Linked DNA regions of Astyanax mexicanus. The protein of the gene in region 1 purifies or fractionates together with the protein of each later gene. This does not show direct contact. Links are inferred from orthologs where the notes say so. Each region holds a gene or a part of one and is shown on either strand. Other genes may lie near its edges.

Region 1 (7,010 bases):
GTGTTTACTGCTCCTTACAACCTGACGAGTAAAATCCATACAAAAGGCGCACCGTATTATAAGACGCACTGTCAATTTTTGTGAAAATTAAAAGTTTTTAAGTGCGCCTTATAGTCCGAAAAATACGGTAATCAGACTACGAAGGAACACATAAGGAATCATGTAGTAACTTAAAAATAAAGTTAAATAAACCAAAATGTGAAGTATTTAGATGCTCTTATCTGGGGAGCTGTTTGTTAACTTGTGGTTTATGATGCTGGTAACTCTGATTAATTTATCCTCTATAACAGAGGAAACTCCTGATGAGTGCCAGTTTCATCAGTATAATGTTTTTGATGGTTTTTGTGGCGACTGCGCCTGAGTATACTTTCAAAGTTAATAAAATTCTTCTTTTCGGATTGACTGACCTTCATTTTTTCTTAAAGTATCTTTTTCTTTATTTAGTTGAGTAGTTGTTGCTTCTCATAATATGTATTAGAGTACTACCTCATAAAACTGACTGAGAAAATGCAGCAGAGTGCAAAACTGGTAATCTAAACAACAGGAGGAGCTACTTTAAAAATAAATACTAAATAATTCCATATGTTTTTTTATAGTTTGGATGAGTTTAGTATTAAAGCAGCACTAAGTAGGATTTTCTTGATTTTTTATCTTTTTAAAGAAGTAAAATTACAGTGTGAAACTCACTGCAGCGCTGCATTGAGGTGTAATAGGAGGAATAACGGTGCTCTCGTGTCTGTGCCGAAGCGCCTCTGAGCTCAAACCAGACTGTAAATTTTCTGAGGCGACCGCGAACAACGCTCGCAAGAACTGCGACCTGCTTTCCGACCTTTAGTTCTAACAGTTCTACAAGGACTACTGGTTCATTCTTTACAAACTAACATACAGACACTCTGGCAGAAGCTGGAAAGAGACCCAATATGTCTGTAAAAGCCAGAAAACAAGAAAGAGAAACTAATCCGCCTGAAACATTTATTACACTCTGCAACTGTAGGGGGAGCCCACGATCACAAAATCTCAATCCTACCTAGTGGAGCTTTAATCTACAATGCAGAACATTTTAAATAATGTAAAAAACATTTAATTATCATAAATGACACTACTTACTGATTCCTTTGGATTTGGGAGCAATTTTTTCAATGTCCTTCAGTTGAAAAACATCCTTCTGAAAAAATAATAATACAGTTTTAATCAGACAGTCACTGCAGTGGAAACCAGTTGGGGGCTTCTGTCTGCCTCCCAGAGCTGTAGAATTACAGTATGAGTCCTAACTAAAGCTGGAATTAAAAATCTCCAATAATTTAGTTATTTTTTAAAGAGAATACATCAGAAACACTGTAAATTTAACTGACAGTTTACTTAAAAAAACTAAATTAATTTACTTACTGTTTCAAAAAATATCTCCATCATACGAGACCTCTTCTCTTCCAAACTGAGTCCTTTCTTCTTCGACTGTTTCAGAGAGTAAAATTTTAGTAAAAACTGACATTATTAGGCAGATGACAACGCAATCTTAAAATCAACAAACACTAATAATTTTTATTATTTACATTGTGGCCAAAATAAAATTTCAAAAAGACTTAAAAATAAAAATCACCCAGAAGCTTCAGCCAGTATTTTCTTCCAGTAATGATTTCTTTTATGATATATTGTTTTAGGCTTTTATATGGTTTTAGGCAATTACGTGAATATTTTCTCCTTATTGATGTGTAAACTGCTCTTTTATTATTTTAAGATACTAAGTTATTACTTTGAGATACTATCTCACTATTTTGAGATGCTTCCCATTTTTAAGGGACTAATAATAATGAAATTTATAACGAAATAGCCTTTCAAAATAATGACTTTGTATGTCAAAAAAACAACTTACTTATTTCAAGATACTGTGTAATTTTGACATGCTATCTTGATATTTTGAGATACTAAGTCTTTATTTTGAGATATTAAATCTTTATTTTAAGATAGTAAATCTTTATTTTAAGATAGTAAATCTTTATTTTGAGATACTAAGTAATTATTCAGCGATACTAAATCTTTATTTTGAGATACTAAGTCTTTATTTTGAGATACTAAGTCTTTATTTTGAGATACTAAGTCTTTATTTTGAGGTACAAATTCTTTATTTTGAGGTACCAAGTCTTTATTTTGAGATACTAAGTCTTTATTTTGAGATACCAAGTCTTTATTTTCAGATACTAAGTCTTTATTTTGAGATACCAAGTCTTTATTTTGAGATACTAAGTCTTTATTTTGAGATACCAAGTCTTTATTTTGAGGTACCAAGTCTTTATTTTGAGGTACAAATTCTTTATTTTGAGATACTAAGCCTTTATTTTGAAATAAAGAAAGAAATAAAAACAGTATTATTGTGATTATTGTTTTACTGTTTGCTGTACTCTACTATCTCTGATATAAAATGATTAAGTTATTTAATTAATTTTAATGAAAAATGAAGACCGTGTTCCCGCCCGGTTTCGAACCGAGGACCTTTCGCGTGTTAGGCGAACGTGATAACCACTACACTACGGGAACTGATTACCACGTACAGACACTCCAGCCTTTAAACCGGTGGAGTAAAATAACATTTTATACGATTTATATATTTTAAATCACGTTATAAACACAGTAAAACACATAAAAACAAACTCACCTTTCACTGATTTTATCTGTTTAAACTAAAAGACTAAGACAAAACACCACAACCTGCAGTAACTAATAAACTAACGTTACACCAACAGCGGCTGTATTTAAGAGAACTCTGACTACAAATCCAGCAGATTAATAAAGTTTTTAAACTTTAATATAGATCGTTATTTATACTAAAGCGATGTGAGGCCTATGGTTTTCTCTTAGACTGTTAATTAACGCTGTTGATTTAGCTAAAGCTAAAAACAAACCCAAACAAACCACGCACCTAAAACTACCTAAAACTGTGTTTAATATCACACAATCCGCTCATTTTCACCTCCAGTAAAATGTTTTATTACTGTAAATCTATTAAAGTAGATATTAAACACAGTATTAAAGTCCTACCATTTTTAAATCACTCCTCTGACTGAAGCTCCTCTGATTCAGTTCTCAACCTGCTCCACATTTCCCGCCAACTGCCTTCATTCCTATACCGGAATCGGTTCTTTTCTTAGAATCATTCGAACCGAATCAGGTTCACAGGACACCATAGACTGTATATGCAGGACACAAACATTTCAGCCGGATTTTTGAATCGGTTCTTTTCAAAGAATCATTCGAACCAATTCAGTTTCACTTATGAACCTGAATTTATTATCTGCATGTACATGACACAAAAAAAATCTTCTGGATTTTTGAGTCAGGTTCAGGATTGAACCAGGGTGTATTATATACATATACAGGACACAAAAGATTGAACAGAATTGGTTATTTTTAAGTTTTATTATATACAGCTCTGGGAAAAATGAAGACACCACTTTAGTTTATGAATCAGTTTCTCTAAGTTAGCTATTTATAGGTTTATGTTTGAGTAAAATGAACATTGTTGTTTTATTCTATAAACTACGGACAACACGTCTCCCAAATTCCAAATAAAAATATTGTAATTTAGAGCATTTATTTGCAGAAAATGAGAAATGCCTGAAATAACAAAAAAGATGCGGAGCTTCAAATAATTTTAAATAATGCAAAGAAAACAAGTTCGTATTCATACATTTTAAGAATGCAGAAATCAATATTTGGTAGAATAACCCTGTTTTTAATCACAGTTTTCATGCATCTTGGCATCATGTTCTCTTCCACCAGTCTTACACACTGCTTTTGGATAACTTTGTCATCTTGTTGCACAATCCAACCAGTTCAGCTTGGTTTAATGGCTTGTGATCATCCATCTTCCTCTTGATTATTTTCCACAGGTTTTCAATTTGGTAAAATAAAAAAAATAATAATTTTTGAGTGGTCTCTTATTTTTATACAGAGCTGGAGGTTACAGTAGGGGGCAGCACTGAGTTTATACCGCCTCTCTCTCCGCGCTGCAGGCCGGAGTTTCCGCCGCCGTGTTTCCGGTGTGTGTGTGAGAGTGTGTGTGAGTGTTTAGCGCGGTGTGTTTAGTTTTATACAGGGAGTTTAAATCGAATTCTGATCCGGATTCAGCTTTAATTCAGAACTACTGACCCAGAGCAGCAAAAGCAGCAGCATGGCGGAGGTAAGGCGGTATTATTATTATTCACGGGACAGACCATAATACTCTCCTCTCTATTCACTACACCCAGTTCTACTCTCACCTCTTTAATAAAACACTTATTATTATATATAATTATTATAATACAGACCACAATACTCTCCTCTCTATTCACTACACCCTGCTTTACTCTCACCTCTTTAATAAAACACTGATTATTATACCGGTTATACAGTAATCTGTTACATAATCACACTTAAATAACCAACAGATCCCGTTATTAGTGTATTAATATTCACATTAATAACTCAACTAACTAACGTTCCTGTTTTTTAAGCTTAACACCAGCATTACATTCGCTTTATAACTAGAGAACACTAACTTACTCTAATTACCTTTATTCTCTGTTCACTGAGATATGTGTCTGATGTTGGCCCTTTAAACAGGTTCAGTATAGTTTTGTTCATTTTCTGAGGAGATCTATCTATTTAAAAAGAGACACAGCCACTGGGGGTTAATGTAGAGTAAATAAAGGATTAATCTGGTGTGAAATGGACTTGGGTTGTAGTGAAACATGATAATGATTATAAACTTTTGTAGAATACCCCACCTCTGTTCTTCCTTAGCATTCCCAAATACAGCACTTGCTGATGCTCCCAACAGGCTTACAAAATGCTAGAGATTAGGGCTGCAACTACTGACTACTTTAGTAGTCGAGTAATCTGCTGATTATTTGTTTGATTAGTTGATTAGTCACGATTATTTCTTGTCCTGCCCTCCATCTGTACTTCCTTCTAGTGAGAACAGCTAAACATTTAGTCCCCAAGACCAGCTTTGTCACTTATGTATTTTTTTTATTATTATTATTTTTTTTTTACTATTTTTCAAAGATATACCTCCCCAAAAAGATTTTGTCTCAGAAAATAAAGGTTTCTTTTTTATTAAAGTCTGTAGTTACTCTAATATATGACTTAATTTTAATGTAGTGTACAGAGGACATTATCTGTCTCTAACACTTATCCATGTTAATGAAGGAGTGAATCCTGTTTAAACTCTCCTCAGCAGTTCTCTGCAGTAATTTAACATTAACCACGGGTAATATAAAGCTCAGTGTTTAAACTGTACACAACCAGTAAAGACAGACTGTAGAGTTTTTTGTGGAGTTAAATGTGTTTAATGTTGTGTTTAATGGAGACAGAGCTGCTATTACACTGTATACTTGTCTCTCTCCTGCTCTCTCTCATGCTTTGCAAGTCCCACCCATACTGAAACCGCATTGGATAAATAAGCATGAGGAGAGGCCAATCAGAATACTCAGGATTTGTCACTCTTACTCAACAATGAGACTCTGCAACAACTACATTCTAGATAAATATGTTAAAGGGTTTAAAATGGCTCTCATTCTACTTTATTACAAGTAACTTAATTTATGGACTTATCTGATTGGATATTTTTGTATGTGTGGATTACTTGGATTGTTTCCAAAATCTGCTTGAAATTTCATGTCAGTCGCCCATCATCAAAACATTGATTCATTCAGTATTTTTTCTTGAGTTATATACTCTGCCTGTTATATAGCATCTGCCTTATTTGAATCAGTTTTGTGTCTGTTGTGTCTGCAGGAGGTGCAGAAGCACTCGGTCCACACTCTGCTCTTTAGATCTCTGAAGAGAACCCATGACATGTTCGTGTCTGATCACGCTAAACCAGTGTCCCTGGACGAGGAGAGGTGAGTCTCTGGCTTTAAAAACCTGAAAGATGAGCGTGGTCATTGGATCTATGGAATAAGGTCATGTGAAGGTCTGATGAGTCCAGATTTGCACTGTTCTGGAGTGATGGAGCATCAGGGTTAGAAGAACTAGAAGAAATCCAGAGTCTGATATTTACTCTCTCTAGCAAACTGAAGCATTTTTAGATGAAAAATGATTTTTTTTTTTTTATGGCTGTGTGAACGTGCCAAATCAGCCTTTTTTTAAATTAGATTTGAGTCACTTTCATAACGGTCAAATCTGAATTTATGCGTCTTTTTGCTTTTACGCATTAGTATTAGCATTAGCCCTACATGCTTCTCTCTCGTACCCACACTGCATCTCTTGGTGCAGCTGTGCAGCTATAGCTGCAAAATCAGCAAAAGCAAACCTCCTGGCCTTTTTTCTCCTCCTGGACCTGAGCATGAACTTCAGACCAGCTGTTTCTCTCCACTCTCCAGTTAAAGATGCTCCACATATGATCTGCTAACTCATCCATTTCCCTTTATAAAGCTACTAGTTTCTTGTCTCTCTAATATGAGGGTTTTTTTGTTGTTGGTGAAGAAGGAGGCATTTATACAGGTATCAGTGTGCAGCATGTGAGGCGTTTCTGGTACAGATTTGTTCACATTACACACAGATACAGATCACTTACATTTACAGTGAATGTGAACCATCAGGATAAACAAATCTGATCTGAGCAAAAAAAAATCTGATTTAAGCAACATGGCTTATAATGTGAACGTAGCCTAGGATGTTTTCCCTGCTTGATGCACGCCAATAATTTGACACGATCGCGGTCTATGTCTTTCCAAGTATATGTCTTTTAGAATAGCTGTATTTGCACATTAATGAGTTTACAAATGTTTATATAGAATTTTTTTCAGTGTATTTTCAATGTATTAATTATGGACCTGTGAACTTGTTTCCTCAGTCACAAGATAAAGATGGCTGCTAAGCTAAGAGCTGAGTATGGACCAGTGTTACACATGCCCGTGCTGAAAGAAGTCCGGGGAAAACCTCTTAACTCCTCTGATCCATTGGACAACCTGGGATACCCAGCAATCGGTGAGTGAGTTTTTTTTAGAGACACAGGAATGCACAAACATAAG
Region 2 (7,572 bases), on another chromosome or scaffold:
AAGAGAGATAGCAGCTAATGCTAATTCTGTTCCAGTTGCTCTGCTAAGGAACTAAACTGAAACACCTTTACAACACTGTACAATCCATCAGCAAAATGGATTTACTGCTCCTTAATACCTGACTGGTAAAATTCATACATAAGCCACACTGAAGATTTTTGGGAAAACTAAAAGATTTGAAGTGCGCCTTATAGTGCAAGAAATACGGCAATTGTACAGTATTATGCTCTGTATATTCAGTAGGGTTCAATAACAAGTTGGAGTCACTGCTCTACAATTACACCTTCTTACCTTGAGGTATCTACGATAAACGCGAATGGCGGTCTCAGGCAGAGGTAAGTTTCGTGCAAACTTGAGGTACAGAGGCCAGATTCGGGAATGCTGAGTGATGGGTAGGGCTCTGAGCGCTCGGTCGAAGGTACGACGGCTCCTTGTGATTTTGCACTGAGACACAATGAACTGACAGTAATCCAGCCATATCCTCGGCATCTGGAAAAAAAAAGAAGAAGAAGCATGAAGTGCAAAATCTATTATTAGTTCAAAACTTTTAGAAATCACAGGACAGAAGACACTAGGGGTGTCACGATTCTCTAAATCCTCGATTCGATTTTATTTCCGATTTTAGGGTCACGATTTGATTCTTGATTTTCTTTTTTTTTTTTTTTTTTACTTTTTACGATTTTCTTTATTTCTTTAGTTCTATAAATCCGTTTTCAGCTTCTCCTCTGCGGTTGAAAGGCAGCTGTTCTGCGTGTGAGAGGCTCGTGTGTGTGTGTGTGTGTGTGTGTGTGTGTGTCTCTCTCACACACAACGGAACTTTTTGTCGGAGGGTGGGGCTGCGCTCAAGCAGTCGCTCTCTCTCTGTTGAAAAACCCTGGGCTACAGTGCGCTGCGCCATTTGCTGAGCGTGCTGCGGCATTTGTGGGAGGGATCGTCGATCCTCTTTTTTACTTCGAGGCTCAAGACCATGTCATAATTTCGATCGATTTTGATAAAATATCGAAATCGTGACACCCCTAGAAGACACTAATTTATGGTGGTATTAATGTCTGATGTTAAGGAATGCTGTGTATTTCTGCCTCCTGCACAAACAATGAATCTGGTGAGAAAAAGCAAGAAAATGCCCAAAATTGTGGGGGATATCATTAACATTATCATTAACATGCTTACTTTTAAATTGTAATAAATATACAAATTAAATACATTATAACAGCTACAACAAATACATTCATTTAACTAAATCACTCTCTTATTTGATGATTGATAAAAAATACATATTAGTAGGCTAACATTTTTCATCTAATCATTTTCATTTTACACATTCATTTTACATCGAATTATTAAAAAAAAAAAACATTTTAAAACCTACAGAGCTGGCAACTGAGCTAATCAACTAAAAGTGCATTCGTTTGTATACATATAAATCACATGATGTGAGCTGGTGATAGACCAGAAAAGCATTGTGGAAAAAGAAGACAAAAAATATTGTCCTTCCCAGTAAAACATTAAAACAAGCAACTGTGAAATCACATGAAAAGTAATTTGTTGTAACTCCAGAATAGGATACTAGTAATTTTACCTTGTGCATAAACACCAGTGCTCTCTCATGGCAGTTGTTGATTTCCTCATAAGCGGGATCTGTTACGCATTTTCCCTTGACCTGCTTCCTCCGCTCCCTCAAATAGTTGTACCACAGTTTGTAACTGTAGTTGAAGAAAAACAAATACATACATTGTTTTTTACATACATAAAACAACAACCATTAACTTTTTTCCCATCAAAATACAATGAATGGTTTTAAATGGAGTAGCTGCATTTACCTGCCAGGTAGCTCCTTCAGCGCTCGCTCGTAGATCATATTAAGCACTGACTTGGAGCCACTTTGCTTGTGTTCAATGTAGCGCATCCAACACTTGACTGAATATGGATTCCTGATGATTTCCTCTTCATAGGGCAAGTCATCTTCTTCCTGAGAGATTCATTTATGGAGTTAGTTAACTTTACAAACACCAGGGCAGAATGCAGAATTCAGAACTTCAGACTTATACATTTGAATTGAACCATTTTAAAGACTTGGATACAGCAAGGTAATGCATAATTTAAGTATATTAAATTCAATTATACTTGAATTAAATTACATCAATTACAATATACGTCAATTACATAAATATGAACATGTGTAGAACATATGTAGTTTCTTTTTTCTAATGTTTTGATGGACAGAAAACTAATTGAGACCTGTTGTTGTTCATCAGAATAGATGATAAACCAGCCAATGAAACAGTAGCAGTAATCATATGTAATATAAGTTACGTTGTAGAGCTTCATAGTCCACCTTAGTTATGTATTATGAATGTCTTTGAATGTATTTTAATTACAAATAATTTTAATTACAAAAAAAGTACAATTCATCCTATTATACCAACTCAAAATGAAGAATAGGGACATTATAGAACAGCTTATATAGCTAGCAAGCTGGTTATAAAGCCAGTGTTAACTCTAATATTCAAAATGCATTTCTAATTTATTACACTGATCTCAGACCGGATTTCTCTGTTTTGTAAATATAGCTAACTAGCTAGGGTTAGCCACAAAAGTGTCAAAAATACGTTCTAAAAAGAAACAACAGTCCTCACAGCAAAAGTATCAGCCAGTCCTATTTATCTACTACAGTGTATGTTTCATATTTATCTAATTCTGCCTAAATAAATCTTAATAACTGATTTTAAAATAGTAACGAAAGTTAGCCATTATTAGCTGTTAGCTTCCCACAGATACCATACTTGGTAGCCTAGCCGTGATATTCTATCCATAAAAAACACAGAAATACATACAAACGTAACGTCCGGTTTTCCGTTAAAAGTAGGCATGTTCCTCTCCCGGTAGAAGAACTGAATTATAAACCTATAAATGTAAAATAAAACTGTTTAATCGTTTTAGCTTCTCCGCTACTCTGAACGTGTTGTGGACGCAATGCTAACTAGCTCCGCCCCCTCGACCTTTCACCCGCTGCTGGGGCCGGGTGAACTGGAGCCCGCGCTGGCGGATTACACTGCCCCCACCGGTTAAAGGTGGAACTGCAACAGCAAAACCAACTTCACCACTTTCTTTTTTTAAATTAATTTATTTTTTATTAGCAGCGTAGAACACAAAACTCACAATTAATCACACTTTATCTTTCCTTATTTAGCTTTATTTATATATATATATATAAATATATATATAAATAATATATGAATAATTGGTATTTAAATGTGAATAAAATAAATAAACAGATTTTTATAATTGGTGCCAATCCCTTAAAAATAATTGTATTAATCACAACACTATTTTGTGACTAAATCATGGATAAAACCATGATTCCCTTTTTTTTAATTCTGGTAATTAGCTGTATTTTTGGGAAGGGGACAGTAATAATGGTGAAGTGTGGTTTACATCTGGCATACTATTTTTGTTTTAGTTTGTAGTTTTTTTTACTGTGTTTTAATATTTCAGGGTAGTTTTACTGTATTATAATAATTCAGGGTAGATTTACTGTATTATAATATCTCAGGGTAGATTTGCTGTATTATAATATCTCAGGGTAGACGTACTGTATTGTAATATCTCAGGGTAGATTTGCTGTATTATAGTATCTCAGGGTAGATTTGCTGTATTATAGTATCTCAGGGTAGATTTGCTGTATTATAGTATCTCAGGGTAGATTTGCTGTATTATAATATCTCAGGGTAGATTTGCTGTATTATAATATCTCAGGGTAGACGTACTGTATTATAATATCTCAGGGTAGATTTGCTGTATTATAGTATCTCAGGGTAGATTTGCTGTATTGTAATATCTCAAGGTAGATTTATTGTAGTATATCTTAGGGTATTTTTAAGGGTAGTTTTAATAGAGAAAATAGCTTGAAAAGAAGAAACGTACCTTTAACTGTGTGTGTGTGTGTTTGTGTGTGCATGACCACACGAGGGTAAAAGAGAACTGATATCAAAGTCGACCTGCAATTTAAATTCTAGTTGCAGAAGGTAGATACAGGGCAATCCTGGAAAAAACCTGTTGGAAGCTGCAAAAGACTTAAAACTGTGAAGATTGATCTTTCACCAAGACCCTAAACATACAGCCAGAACTACAGTGGAATGGTTAAGATCAAGGAATATATTTATGTGTTAGAATGGCCCAGTCAAAGTCCTGACCTAAATCCCATTGAGCTTCTGTGTAATGTTCACAGACACATAGATTTTTTATGTAACTCTCAAATAAATGCAATCATCACACAGTGAGATAATCCTTCATAATCATTTATTTCACACAGTTTTAAACCTTGGTTTAATTTAGTAAAGTATGTGTTTCTGATAAATTGGCAGCTGAGCTCAGTGTACATTCATAATGCTTATTTTCTTTTCACTCTATCCTTTCTCTCTCTCCTCCCATCCCCTCGTTCTCTTCCCTTCCCTGGCTCCCGGCTCTTCTCTGCGGCGTTTCCCTGCTGAAGCTGAGCTGTGTGGACTCTGTGAATGAGGGAGAAGTAATCTTCATCAGTTCCAATGGGTGGAGGATGAGGTGCAGGCCTAGGAGAGGAGGGTCTGGGGTGGGACGTTCGTCCATGAGCTCGGTAGGGTGAGGAAGACCTGGAGCGGTGTCTCCTGGGCCGGGGTGTCGTCTCAAGAGATGGGGGTCCGCAAACCATAGGAGTGAGTGGAAGGAGAAAATTTTTCCCTGCTGGTGTTCCAATCGTCAGGAACACGTCTGGGGAAGAACTCTGCTGACCGTCTGAGTTACTCTGCTGAGAGAAAGACAGGGAAAAGTGCAAAGAGAAATGTGTGTTGGAATCGACAGGTATGCACATAAAAAACGGATATAAATACTGGTCCACAATTCCTACAGTCCACTCACCTGTTTGGGAGCAGTGAGGCATACGGACACTTTGAAGGTAAGCTGCAATAAAGAAGGGAGATTATGGTGATTAAACTGATCTTTAACCTCAAAGCTATAGCAAAAAGCCACTAAATAGCTTGTTTGCTTTATATTTAACAAGTGTACAACACTGACAGGCCAAATGTCTTGGACAGGAACTAGTATCTTGTTCCCTGGCCATGCTCTGCATGTTCCAATAGTAGCTAATGGAATTTTATTATTTTATTATTAAGGGCTCAAAACAGACATAAAGTGGGGAAAATAAGTATTTGATACACTGCCGATTTTGCAATTCAGACAGTTTTCCCAACTACAAAGAATGAAGAGATCTGTAATTTTTATCTCAGGTACACTTAAATTGTATGAAATAAGTATTTGATACAATAAAAAACATAACTTATTATTTGATACAGAAACCTTTGTTTGCAATAAAAAATCTGACATTTGCTGTAGTTCTTGACCGAGTCTGCACACACTGCAGCAGGGATTTTGGCCCACTCTTCCTCCATACAGATCTTCTCCAGATCTTTCAGATTTCAGGTCTGTTGCTTGGCAACACTCTGTTTCGGCTCCATCACAAGATTTTCTATTGGTTTCAGGTGTGAAGACTGGCTAGGCCACTCTTGGAACTTGAAATGCTTCTTCCTTCTTAAAATCCACTTTAATTTTTGTATCTATGTGTTTTGGGTCATTGTCATGCTGGAAGACCCAGACTCAACCCATCGTCAGTGCTTTTACTGAGGGAAAGAAGTTTTTGGCTAAAATCTTGTGATACATGACCCCATCCATCCTTCCTTCAAAATGTTACAGTCCCTTCCCATTTGCTGGAAAGCACCAGCAAAGTAAAATGTTTCCACCCCCATGCTTTATTATCTTGCTGGTTGGAAGGTGATCATAAACGTATTTCATGTAATAAAATGTTGATTATTTATTTAAAAATCATACATTGTGATTTTTTTATTCTTTTATTTTTTATTCTGTCTCTAATAGTTAAAGTGTACCTACAATAAAAATTACAGACCTCTCAATTTGTTTGTAGGTGAGAAAACTTGCAAAATTTGTAGGGTATTAAATACATATTTTCTCCACAGTACTGTACCTGGTGCTGTAATTTTAGACAGTCTATCATTAACACCCACTGCCCTGTCCGCTGTGGGTGGTAATGCCTTCTATGCTGTACTCCCAGTACACACAGACATCCTTATGATAACAAAAAAATACTAATTTTGGAAACAAATCCAGTAGATGAATTAATTTAGAACAAAACTTTGTACTACAATGTGCAAAAAGGTATGCAGATTGTATGATATGATGCTAAGCAATGTTTAAGAGTGGGGGGTTGTAGGCCCCCACTATACTACCAGGTAGTATAGATAATGTTACTCACCTTGGTGGAAACATTATCATACTGAGTCCTCTCTTTCTCTGAGACGGGGCTGAAAGTGGCAGATCTTGGTGGAGGCTTGGTGAGCAGGTCTGGATCCTGTGTGAGGGACGTGGGTCTGGAGGAAGCTCTCCTGGGTGCAGGCGACTCCGGGGTCAGGATGATCTGTGGAACGAATGGTTTCTCCGTTCTGACTTCTGGCATTGTAGTTCTCTGGTCATCCATTCGTTTGCTCTGAGAGTTGGCCACAAGGGTGAAGAACTGTTCTGTGTTTAGTGCTGTAAAAATATCAGGAAAGGAGATAATGACAACAAGTTTCATTATCTCTTCATTATCCATGAAAAAGAGCCATGACCTATTATTCCACCTCCACCAAGTTTAACAGGTAGATTCTGGATTTGTCACTATGGGATGAGAAAAAGTGATACCCAGTGATTCATCACTCCTAAAAGCACTTTCATATTCTCCAGACTCTTCACACAGTTCAAGAAGGTGACTCTAGATAAACCCATCCACATGGTTTATACACATTTTAACCAATAAATTTAAATTTTTTTTTTCATGACTTTTCCATGCCTTAAAGGCAAATTTTCATGACCATACGATTTTTAAATAAACGCAATATAAACTATCCACATGGTTTATACACATATATACATTATACACACATATACATGTACATATATATACACACATATACACACATATACATTATACACATTCTAGATAAACCTATCCACATGGTTTATACACATTTTAACCAATAAATTTCCATTCTTTTTTTTCCTGACTTTTCCATGCCTTAAAGGCAAATTCTCATGACCATACGATTTTTAAAAAATCAGTGCAGACATGGACAATAAAACCAAAAATCAACTAAAAGTATAATTTAAATGGATTATAGTAGGCCTAAAATGAATCTGACACACAAACTTTAATAATAAAATGGGTTTCAGATCCTGAGAGCTCTATAGTATAGGGCTAAATTACTGAATTAATTCTAAGCTGACGTTCTTGTTAGCTTAAAATAGATTTTCTCCATCGATAAACGGAAACACAAAGATTTGTAGACCAATTTCTAGACTTTTCTAAAATTTTCTAGGTATTTTTATTTTTCCAAAACTTATCCAGGCCTGGAAATTGCTATTTTCAAATTCCATGACTTTTCCAGTTTTTTCGTGACCGTACAAACCCTGTCTCCAATAAAGCTCTTGAGAAATATCTCCAGATATACCTTTATGTCGTGATTACCTCTAGAAGCAGAATGGAGATCA

What was found.
Region 2: the proteins of plrg1 (region 1) and xab2 purify together in Homo sapiens (affinity purification with mass spectrometry; 3 studies listed by BioGRID and IntAct, counting the BioPlex papers as one, with this or other methods). This does not show direct contact. The link is inferred for Astyanax mexicanus from reciprocal best matches to the Homo sapiens genes PLRG1 and XAB2.

What each region holds. Positions count from the first base shown.
Region 1 is NC_064432.1:13,738,418-13,745,427, reverse strand, and holds the start of plrg1 (pleiotropic regulator 1), read left to right. Parts: upstream 1-4,010; 5' UTR 4,011-4,165; coding exon 4,166-4,174; intron 4,175-5,772; coding exon 5,773-5,879; intron 5,880-6,832; coding exon 6,833-6,966; intron 6,967-7,010. Other genes in the region: mnd1 (meiotic nuclear division protein 1 homolog), read right to left, coding at 1,108-1,165, 1,387-1,452, 3,034-3,036. UniProt on the Homo sapiens protein: Involved in pre-mRNA splicing as component of the spliceosome. Component of the PRP19-CDC5L complex that forms an integral part of the spliceosome and is required for activating pre-mRNA splicing.
Region 2 is NC_064410.1:4,830,354-4,837,925, forward strand, and holds the start of xab2 (pre-mRNA-splicing factor SYF1), read right to left. Parts: upstream 3,011-7,572; 5' UTR 2,871-3,010; coding exon 2,835-2,870; intron 1,970-2,834; coding exon 1,821-1,969; intron 1,704-1,820; coding exon 1,580-1,703; intron 490-1,579; coding exon 292-489; intron 1-291. Other genes in the region: uncharacterized protein LOC103046674, read right to left, coding at 4,391-4,783, 4,894-4,935, 6,302-6,576. UniProt on the Homo sapiens protein: Involved in pre-mRNA splicing as component of the spliceosome. Involved in transcription-coupled repair (TCR), transcription and pre-mRNA splicing.